Linked DNA regions of Drosophila melanogaster. Changing the gene in region 2 together with the main gene of any one other region gives a genetic interaction. Each region holds a gene or a part of one and is shown on either strand. Other genes may lie near its edges. The genes, in order: Ire1 and Atg8b.

The links.
Region 1: of Atg8b (region 2) and Ire1, changing one suppresses a phenotype caused by changing the other (phenotypic suppression), as found in Drosophila melanogaster (one study listed by BioGRID).

Annotation. Positions count from the first base shown.
Region 1 is NT_033777.3:19,855,274-19,863,431, reverse strand, and holds the start of Ire1 (Inositol-requiring enzyme-1), read left to right. Parts: upstream 1-2,140; 5' UTR 2,141-2,417; coding exon 2,418-2,546; intron 2,547-2,670; coding exon 2,671-2,785; intron 2,786-5,747; coding exon 5,748-6,191; intron 6,192-6,249; coding exon 6,250-6,472; intron 6,473-6,529; coding exon 6,530-7,799; intron 7,800-7,886; coding exon 7,887-8,051; intron 8,052-8,113; coding exon 8,114-8,158. Other genes in the region: CG4572 (uncharacterized protein), read left to right, coding at 1-710; Mrm2 (mitochondrial rRNA methyltransferase 2), read right to left, coding at 1,037-1,789.
Region 2 is NT_033777.3:17,723,759-17,727,123, forward strand, and holds Atg8b (Autophagy-related 8b), read right to left. Parts: upstream 1,306-3,365; 5' UTR 1,153-1,305; coding exon 790-1,152; 3' UTR 652-789; downstream 1-651.

The DNA.
Region 1 (8,158 bases), 2.1 Mb from region 2:
GCGTGGCCATCGGAAATGGTCTCTCGGATCCGCTGCATCAGCTGAAGTACGGTGACTATCTCTACCAGCTGGGCCTGATCGACGAGCACGGACTGCAGAGTTTCCACGATGCCGAGGCAAAGGGTGCTGAATGCATTAAGAGTCACGACATGGAGTGCGCCTTCGACGTATTTGATTCCCTAATCAACGGGGACCTTACCAATGGCTCACTGTTCAGCAACCTTACTGGATACAACTGGTACTACAACTACTTGAAGACGCATGATGATGATGGCGCCAACTTGGGCGAATTTCTGCAGGCGGGCGCCACTCGGCGGGCAATTCATGTGGGCAATAAGACATTCCATGATCTGGACAAGGAGAACAAGGTGGAACTTCACTTGAAGAAGGATATCATGGACTCGGTGGCCCCGTGGATAGCCGAACTGCTGGCCCACTATACTGTGTGCATCTACAGCGGGCAGCTAGACATTATTGTTGCCTATCCACTGACGCGCAATTATCTCAACCAACTAAAGTTCCCCGGCTCGGACAAGTACAAGGTGGCTCCCCGCGAAGTGTGGCGCGTTGGGAAGGAAGTGGCCGGCTATGTCAAGCACGCCGGACATCTTGTGGAGATCATGGTCCGCAATGCCGGGCACATGGCTCCTCACGATCAGCCCAAGTGGCTGTACATGATGATTGATCACCTTACTCATTACAAGCACTAGGAAATGCGTACTTAAACTATTCAGTACAATTTGGAGACCAAATTTAAGCCTTTGTTTTTAAAATTAATCATGAATAATTTGGTGTGAGTTTTGAATGCATAAATATGTTGATGAGAGCATTGGGTTGTTAATACTCAACTAAATTCATATAATTTGTTACAGAACTGTATATAACAACAAAGATTAAAACATCAAAAAGAAAATCAACAAAAATGTTGAGATGAAATTAATCCTAGGTTACTTCCCTTTAGTTATTCTATCCAATATAAGCTACAGTCAATTAACAAAGCTTTTAATTCAACTAGTCCAAAAAACGCAGTTAATAATTAACTATCCGTTGCTCCTTTAAAGTTCCTGGCCACCAGGAAGTGCTCGGCGGAGTCTCCGCGGCTAGCGCGCGGTTTTACTCTCTTCACTTTCTCATAAAACCTAAGCATATCTCGCTCCAGCTTGGGCACGTCGCCATTATCCCACACCTTGACCACCAGATGGGCCTGCGGAGCAGACATGGCCAGGGCAAAGCGCAGCACCTCGTAGCAGAGGTTAGTGATGCTCTCCTGGTCCAGCATCCTCACTCCGGTGGCATTGGGTGCCATATCGGACAGCACGCAGTTGACCTTTCTGTCTTGTAACGCTTCCCTCAGCCGCTTTTGTGCCAGCGAAGAAGTGAAATCCATGCCGCCAAAGATTGTGGCACCCGGCACAGCATGGAAATGCAACAGGTCGATGCTAAAGACGGCTCCCTGTGGCGCCCGCTCCTGCTTTCCGTTGGCATTGGTCCGCTCCACGGCCACCTGGGTCCAGCTGCCAGGAGCAGCTCCGCATTCCAAAACTGTGTCTCCGGGCCGCAGTATTCCGTATTTGTCGTCGATCTCCAGTAATTTGAAGGCACTCCGGCAGCGATAGTTCATCATGCGGGCCTTCTCCACGTACGGATCCGCCAGTTGGCGCGTAAGCCACTCCTGGGAGCTCTTGCTCCGTCCTTTGAGGTTCCGCGGCTGCTGTTTGGCATACTTTCCGCCTATTTCCGTGTGCAGCAGGCGTTTAAAAACACAATTACCCGTAAAAACAAGACGCATTGTGTAATATCGAAATTAGATCGCCTATCGATTTTTATCGACCAAAGTCAATACAAGTTCTGGGAAGTTTACACTGCAAGCGCAGAAACTCCAAAGCTCACATTATATTACCACGTATATGTTACAATTTTATCCATGTTGGAATAAAAAGATCTTTTCACATTTAAATTGATTTTATGGCAACAGCGATGGGTAACAATAAGATTTCCATTGCTGCCATCTCAAGCGTCAGTGTGAATGGGATATTATTTCGTTGCATATTTGGCTCGTTGCGTGCTCCCTGGTCACACTTCAAACCAGTACGGTCTTTTCCCAATTATCTGCCCACTGTCACTCTACTCCGCTCACTCGACGAACTCTCAACTCAACAATGGCGAACGTAATTGGAAAATATTGAACGCGAGTGCGAAGAAAATGTGAAATTTAGCACGGCCAGAGCTGCAACAGTGTTTGATGATTGAAAAGTTTTGAAAAAGAGGCGATAATATGCCACAAACAAGAAACGAAAACTGACTAAACGTGCAAACTGAATACGGATCGGAAATAGCAGTAACTAGTTCCCTCTCTCTTTCGCTCTCTTTTCTCTTCTAATACCCCCGCCCCGCGCCCTACCGGTTGCAAAAACAAAATGAGATTCTGCGTTGTTGTTTGTTGCGTGTTATTTTTGCTGGCCAGCGGGCTTATTGCATCAGCTACAGCAAAATCACAACAGGGCGACTCGGCAGAAGTCGTCAGCAGCGGCGAGGATGAGAAGACGGTAAGTGGGGGCGGCACTGGGCCGTATGACCCACTAAGGGCTAACACTGGACTACCAATGAATATTTCATCACCTTGCCCGATATGTTGTTCATAAGTTTCTCTCGCTCTTCCACAACCCGCAGGACTGCACGGACCTCGCCCGCGACGAGGAGGCGCTGATGGTGTTCTCCACACTGGGCGGCGGACTGACAGCCATCGATCCGGTGACCAGCGAAATACGCTGGACAATAGCAGATGGTAATTACGCGGGCACTCCGCTGTCCTCCACACTCACTGCACCCCTATTTTCCGGCCACAAGTGTGGGACTCGAAACATATGATGGGCAAAGAAGGGTCCTTATTATCAAAAGTGGGAATTTTCCAGCATATATCTCGGGAAATGGGTGTTTTTAGGTATCTAAATACTTTAAAGATAAAAAAACAATATGGTTTTGTTATTGAAAACATTCGAACTGGAAGCACTAAGATCTTTCATAAATGCAAAGTCAGGAAAATTTAATTGTTACCGAATGCCACATTAAGAATATTTTTGTTTTGTTTATTGTTTTGCTCATTGAAATGTGAGAATGTTTCTTTAGACCATTTAACAGCTAAATTTAAATCGTTTTATTTGCGTTTATTGTTGTTTTAAGCTAAATCTAGGAGTCTTTTTTTTTTAGGGAAATTGCCGCTTTATTTGCATAGTAGATTTAAAGATCTTAAGAGATCTAGCTATATATATATATTTATTCCCATGCTGTCACCACCCCTCCTGGAAAATTGCCACTTCACCAGGCTGTTGCACTCGCCGTTTGAAGTGCGAAATGCGTAGCACATGCATGCGCTCGATGAGCTCATCGCAGATTTCGTATCTGCCAGATGTAAGAGCCTAGGATAGATCTTTCCACCGCCTTTCGTGCTCTATTATTTTCACTCTCGCCATTAATGTTGTGTATTGTGCTGCGGGCCTGATAAGGTCCCGCGTCTAGCGCAATCTCGACAAGCGTTCTCGGCACACAATTCCACCAATTAAGTTGCCAGCCAGTGCGCCATATCACCAGTTGCTGTTCCCCCATACCCTTTCCGCAGTGGGTGGTTGGGACTTTGAGCCATTTTCCATTCGGTTCATTGAATATTCCCATAATTTCTCAGCGTGACGTATTGATTTTCGGTGGCTCTCAAGTGCGTTAATCTTGTGGTCATTTGGCTGCTTCGTATTAACCTCTGAGATTAGCTGGCATATATAAATGAGTCACCAGGAGAAAGATGTTAGTAAATTGCGCGATTAAAGGGGTTAATGTGCATAGCTTTCGTTTGAATTGGTGCACTTGTTGGCTACCATTAGTATTATTATGTTTGTTTAATGTGTATAGCATTCAATAGATCACTAAAATGGGGCTTCACTTATCTAATTAAAAAGTGAGGGCATTTTCAATTCGAATTATCGAATATTGCTTATAAACCTGGTGCTATTTTTATTTTCACTGGCTTTGTTGATTGATTTTCCACTTCAGAGCATTCATATTCGCCTGATAAGTAATGCCTCAAGAACTTCCTTTAATTACTCCCCAACTAAGTATTGGAGTTATGCCAAATGACTCTCTGTGGACAATACGCCCTCCACATGTTTGTTTAATTTCTGAAATAAAAAACCCACGCCCCGTGAAGATTATTTTATGTGATAGCTGCAATACACATGTATGTCCATTCGTATTATTAGAAATTTCATGCTGCCCGCTTGTCGCCGGGCTTCGTGGAACTGCAAATGATTGAAAATTCAGGGAGACAAACATGTGGACAGCATCTGACTAGCGGTTTCATGGCAGAGCGCACTATTTGGGCAGTATTTTTCCGAGTCATTCAAGCCAATAATATGTTTTTGATTCGCGGTAATTACACTGTTTCGCCGGCTCTAGCACAGCAGATCGGTGTACCGATTTGTTAGGTTCTATTACCTCATCACGAGACGGAATCAGGTTTTGTCTACGACTACCGCTAGGCAATTAGAATGCTCATGCTAATGAAAGTGCTGCGGCGAGTTAAATGACCTGCCCCAGAAATTGCGGCAACATTCGGTTAATGCCGGGAATGTTTTTGGGGTTGCAACTAATTATTGATAAGAATGGACAGTACATCGAATTGTTTGGTTTCATTACTCGATATTGGTTGACGACCATCTTTCCTGGCAATACTTGAGTTTTGTTTAAACCATTTCGTCAATATCGTGCATGCGATGATGGTCTCCATTTGCATTCGACAAAGTCAGAATTTAACGCTGTTGCCTCGCGCGAATTGTTGGCGATAACAGAAAGAAATTGCCAACACGACTGGCGTAAACACTTTGGATTTGATCAGCCAGCCATGGGTCCCCCAGGTCTATTTCGTATTTACCCAACTGCTGTTTGCTTTGGCTTTGTCTGCCGCGCCAAAAAGCCGCTTAATTTATTCGGGCCTTTTGGTGGAAAGTGTTCACGTTCTTTAATGTGCACCAGAAAATGTGCTCTCCGCTTGGGATGGGGTTAATGTATAGATTACATTTTCGTTCCCATCGGTATAAGTATGTACATACATCAGGAGATAAGCGTTATCGAGAACAGGTTCTGGTTATAATTTATTATATTTCCCTTACTTTACTCCACGTTAGTTGCACCGATATCAGGAACTTTTTATTGGAATTTGTTTACTGTGCACACTTAAAATAATTTACTGCAAAAGGGGTTCATCACTCTAAATTGAAAAGATAATAATAATAAGTATACTTGCTAACTAAAGCTGAGTATTGAATAATAATCTGGAATTCAGAAATTTCTGCTTAAACTAAAATTTTTAATTGATAACAGTGGGATTTTTTAAAATTCGTCAAAAATAGACATGAAATGTTCATTACTAGTTAATACTGGGTAATAAAAGGAAATAAAAAGAAGCAAAATAAAACTAAAAATATTGTTATTGCCGGCTAGTCAAATGTGTTTTTGGCGCGGAGTATATATATATTAGGTTATCTTGTCGTAACAAAACAACTTGTAATGAATTCGATGCAGTATGCGATTTGAAAGTTTAACACCACTCGGAATACATTTTGTGTGATTTTGCATATATTGTGCTTTTACATGGATGCAAAGGAATCGGACTTTATCACGATTTCGAATTTGCAATCATGTTTATTACTTTGTTTTTCTTTTATGATTTTACTTTTAAGCTATAATTGTATTTCTTTTAGATCCTCCTATAGTAGCAGAACATCAGGAGAATGTTCAGGTTCCGCACTTTCTGCCCGATCCTCGAGATGGCAGCATTTACCAGCTGGGTCAGATGGGCAGTCTTAAGAAGTTACCGTACACCATTCCCCAACTGGTGGCCAATGCTCCCTGTCGTTCCTCCGATGGAATCCTGTACTCAGGGAAAAAGAGCGACACCTGGTATATGGTGGATCCTAAGACGGGCAGACGCGAAAAGGTTATGGGCTTTGGCGATGCCACAGTGGATGGTAAGGAGGGCGAGCAGATCGGCTGGGCCACTTCGCGGGCCATCTATCTAGGCCGGACTCAGTACACGGTCATGATGTACGACAGCCTGGCTAAGAACAAGGATGCTAAGCCATGGAATATCACATTTTACGACTACAATGCTGTGAGTGCTCCTCCTGAGCTGGCCAAGGAATATGGTAAGTGCATCTCATAATATAAGAGTGTACACATTTGCTTATGATCTCCCGCACGCAGAGTATATACATCTGACCACCACCACCAATGGACAAATTGTGACTCTGGATCGAAAACACGGTAAATTTCTGTGGCAGCGCGATCTGAGCAGCCCAGTGGTGGCTGCATTCCTTTTGGGACCAGACGGGCTACTCAGTGTGCCATTCACCACGGTCTCTGATGAGGCTTACCAGGCCATCCTCGAGGAGTCGAAAACAGGAAATGTGAACACCGTGAAGCTATTGTAAGGGACATACGATATTCGTCCTGAATTCCATATTAATTGTAATATTTTCAACAGCCAATCCCTTTATGTGGGCGAACATCAAAAGGGCTTGTATGCCCTGCCTTCGCTGGTGGACAAGAACACGCCTCGTATTTCCACAGCACCACCTATAAAACTCCTGGATGGACCTACAGGAGACCAGAACAGCAACCAAGAGACAGATCCGCGCACCATTTACATTAACGATGTGCTGCAAGAGCATGCAGGAATTATGTTGGGACACTACAACATGCCCAATGAGGGTAATGGTAACCTGCAGCTGTCACCGACGACAGCCAGCAGCAAGGTGGTTCAAAGTCTGGCCACCATTCACAACTATAACGATGGCTACGGCCTGTTGGCCAATAATGAAAAGAACGCCGCCGACATTGGCGTGCAAACGGATCCCGAGCTGGTCGAAATTGGCATTGATCAGCGGACGAATGGGAACACCATTAATCGGACGAAGACAATAATACTGCAGAACAGCAATAAGGTGCAGGCCTTTATCAACGAGTGGTTTATGGAGCATCCTAGCGGAAAGGTGCATCAGATTCTAATTGTTATCGTTCTGGGTATGATTGCCTTGTTCTGGTACACCTGCAGCACAATGAGGGAGCTGCAAAAGCAGAGCGAGAATGGTTCAAAAACCTTTGCCATAGCCCAAAATGGATCCAATGGAAGCACTGGCAGCAATGGTAGCAATGCGAACGCTGAAGACCTAGTGGACTTGGGTAATGGACAAGTGCGTGTGGGCAAGATCAGCTTCAGCACAAATGAAGTGCTGGGAAAGGGCTGCGAGGGTACTTTTGTCTTTAAGGGCACATTCGAGGAACGTTTCGTAGCCGTAAAACGGCTGCTGCCCGAATGCTTCACCTTTGCTGATCGCGAGGTGGCCCTATTGCGAGAATCGGACGCGCACGAAAATGTGGTGCGCTACTTCTGCACCGAACAGGATCGCCAGTTCCGCTACATAGCCGTCGAGCTGTGCGCGGCCACTCTGCAGGACTACACCGAAGGAGATCGCTCGCTGGAACTTCAAAATCACATCGATGTTTGGCAAGTGTTGAGCCAGGCTGCATCTGGACTTAGTCATCTTCACTCTCTCGACATTGTGCATCGCGACATTAAGCCGCAAAATGTTCTTATTTCTCTGCCAGACGCCAAGGGCAAAGTACGTGTCATGATCTCCGATTTTGGGCTGTGCAAGAAGCTGAATTTTGGCAAGACTAGTTTCTCACGCCGATCGGGTGTAACAGGCACCGATGGATGGATAGCCCCAGAAATGATGAGATCACAGCGAACGGTACGACATGATTTTTATTATTACCCTACACTACTTCTTCACCATCACAAGAACTTTCTAAAATCGATGTCTTTCAATTATTTACAGACAACTGCTGTGGATATATTTTCCTTGGGCTGCGTTTATTATTATGTTTTAAGTGGCGGTCACCACGCCTTTGGTGACAATCTGAAGCGACAGGCCAACATACTCTCCCACGAATACAATCTGGCCAAGCTGCGCCCAGAGGACGACAGTGAGGACAGCCGAATTGTAGGTTATCTTCACCAAAAAGTTATAGCTAGTTGTTCTAATTACTTCATTTTATTTTAAAGATCCTTGCTGAGCAATTAATATCGGATATGATACACAAGGATCCG
Region 2 (3,365 bases):
CAGTTTGTAATCTCTGTCAAATGAACAACTTCTTCATTTGAAATATAATCAATTTGATTATTGAACTTTCCAATTTTTAAACGCGAGGGAGATCGAATTTATTTGTGAACCCATATATTTATATTTACTTTTTCCATATAACCATCTGGAAGTTTTCGAAGAATACAGCCCATGTAGATTAGTTTGATAAACAAAAGCTGTATATCAAAGGGTTTGGAAGTTGTGGGTGGGTGTCTGACGGAATAAAACAGAAATAAAATCAATTCGAAATTATGATATAAAAATTTCCTTCGCTAATCCATGGACACGGTGTCAACAAGTTTGTCTCACCACATTGGACTTGGCTTCATGCGACACATAAACCAACTTGTTGAATCTTATTGCACGCCTTTGGAGCACACTTTTGCCCGATTTAAACTGGTTTTATGTCTCATATTTTCATCAATTAGTGAACTTAAGCAAACCATACGGCTATCGAATATGTGAATTATAATTAAGCCGAAGCAGTGAGTCCACTAAATGTTTTTTCGAGCGCTTCAATTAACTTTTTGCGGCAAGACCAGGGGCAAGGGATTAGCGGATGCTATGCACCCACTTCCAACGCGGGGGAAGCACATACTGCGATAATTATTGTTTAGCCCAGCATGTGCCATGTGATGACGACGTTGTCTGCTTCTGGTTAGCTGGCTAGGAGCAGTCATTCTTTATTGAGCGAGTAGTGCCAATGGCAAAAAATGACAATTGAAACTCAACCGACCGCCAAAACGATTACGCGAGTCAAGCCCGCGTCTACTGCCGTCCATAGACGTTCTCATCGGTATAGGAAATGTAGAGGAAGTAGTCCTTGTCGAAGTGCTCCTGGTACAGTGCACCCATGGTGGCCGATGTCGGTGGGATCACATTGTTTACGAAGAAGAAGAGGGCGTCGTCGGGACGCAGATTGATACGCTTGCGGATGAGAAAGTAGAACTGGCCCACTGTCAGGTCCGCCGGCACCAGGTACTTCTTCTTGTCCAGCTCCGCGTAACGCGTCTTCGGCGCCTTTTCCACGATGACGGGCACACGGTCCGGATACTTGCGCCGGATCTTGTCGCCTTCGTTGCGGCGCTTGTCGAACGAGTGGTCCTTCTTGTACTGGTAGTTCATATCCATCTGGGCGGACTGGAATACGGTTCGAATCGAAACGGAGCGAAAAATGGGTTTTCGTTTTGGATTTGGTACGAAGGTCTTATGTAGCTGCCGGCCTGAGTTGCTGGGAACTATGTATGATTTATCACCTTTACTGCACAGATAGCTTTGGCAGATAGAAAAGTGCCTGCTCTTCTCGGATTTGAATGGGAAATGGGAGAGGGAAAATGTGATTGTAATCAGGTTTAGTATTCATTCCTATTCATGGAAAAGTATATCTATACCTTTAACCAATCAGGAACATACGAAATTTGTTGGAAATTCTAAATTAAAGAAGAACTACTTATATATGAGTGCCAAATTTCCCTAGGGGCTTTCATGGTGCTTACACACATATTTCTTGTATCGTTTTCATGCATCGCTCCAATTAATTAATTTGAAGTATCCCATTACCGTTTAAACTGTTAATTGTAATTGTGTCCTTGGAATCGCACTACGAATGTGCTGTGCAGGACTCCTCGGGCTAGAAACTTTCCATTCCATACTTCACTGGCGCATTTATTTTATATATTTTCATTGATTTAATTAAATATTTTGTAATACGACAAAAACTATATAAATCCCTGCAGTTGGCACCGCTCTATGAACCTTTTTTTGCAGGCCGCCCCAAGGCGACAATTGGCCCAAAGACGTTACAATCAAGGCTCCCAAGGCGCTGACCACAAGGGAGCTCAACAAGTGTATGTGCTGGGGGCGTACAACTGCGAAAGCTTTTACCTGTACCGACCGCAACGGCAACAATGCACGCAACACACGCAAAGCTGGAGCAGATGTGTTGTTGGGCTCCGTCGTCGCTGGCTGCTCGTCGCTCGGACAGCGCTGGAGCTCTCATTCCGCCATAGCTGCTGGAGCTGCTCGGTTGTTCGCGTTCGGTGCCTCGGCAGTTCAGTTTGTCGTTCTACTTCACAGTACTACTACTTGGAGCAGTTCGTGCATCGCTGGTTTCCGGTTGTGGCCTGGGCGTAATCCCTTGCAACAGGTGCACTTCAGTTCGGACGAAGACAACTGCAAAATACCTGGGATATTTACGCTTCCGGTGAGCAACATGTCCAAGAACGGACCCTTTCGATTCGTTAGAAAAAGGCGTGTGTGTGAAATAATCTTTCGGAAAATCCATTATAATTCAGAGTTTATACGCTCATGTGATGGTCGAAAAAATTGTTAGTCCCACGATCTCTCCTTTGATGTGTTGTGTGTGTTTGCTGAAAAACCAGGCCATAAAGTTATCAATTTTCATTTTGCCCAAAATTGATTCTTGATTTTAGTGGCGATTAGCCATAAACACGGGCAACTAATCTATGTGTGCCTGTGTACTGATTGTGTGCGGCAATTGCTAATTAAACTCACGGGTGCGAAACAAATCACCAATTGTATTCCACAATCCGCAAAAGTAATCGCCCTAATGGTGTTGCTTTAGCTCACCTAGAAATGTGCAGTCCAGAGCCCATTCGTTTGTGAGATGATCTGAGATTCGATAGAAACGTACGGATTTTGTGATGTGGTTACCGCATACCTGCTAATAAGTCCATGCTAATAGACTTCAAAAATCAGAGAGATTTCTTTGACTGGATAGATAGAAACGGCCATGCGCTTTCTAAACGCACAAAATACAATTTTAAAACAAATTAAAATGCACTTTGTTGGCTTGGAGACACACACACACGAGTTTTTGCGGTCAGCCAACTGGCAAAAGCTAATTTGATTTATAAAACAAATGCGTATCTGTTTTCTCCTTTTCTCGTGAAAAGTGCATAAGAAATAACAGAGCAATTAGGTAGGTAGGTAAAAATTGAAGCTTTTCTGGCCACTGAACTAGAACATTCTAATTTGATTTATATGAACAATATTGCGACTTGCGCCTAATAAACTCAAACTGACTTGTTTTACCATGTTGTTAATGCGGCAATTAACAATAATTCGTTAAAAACGACACCATAACCGTTTTTTTTTAGGGTCCAAATATGAGAGCATTGCGTTCACTGGACCAGAATCTTTGGCGTTCCTCCCACTTAATCGTGTCCGCCTGGTTTAATTACTCCAACTTGGTGTCCGCCATTCAAAGGGGAATTAGTTAAATGGAATGCAAGAGTCGTCAGAGTGGATTTAATCCAATTGAACGGCTGCTAACTATTCGGTGTTGATTCGAAATACAAATAATCAGCCAGAGCTGCCAATCA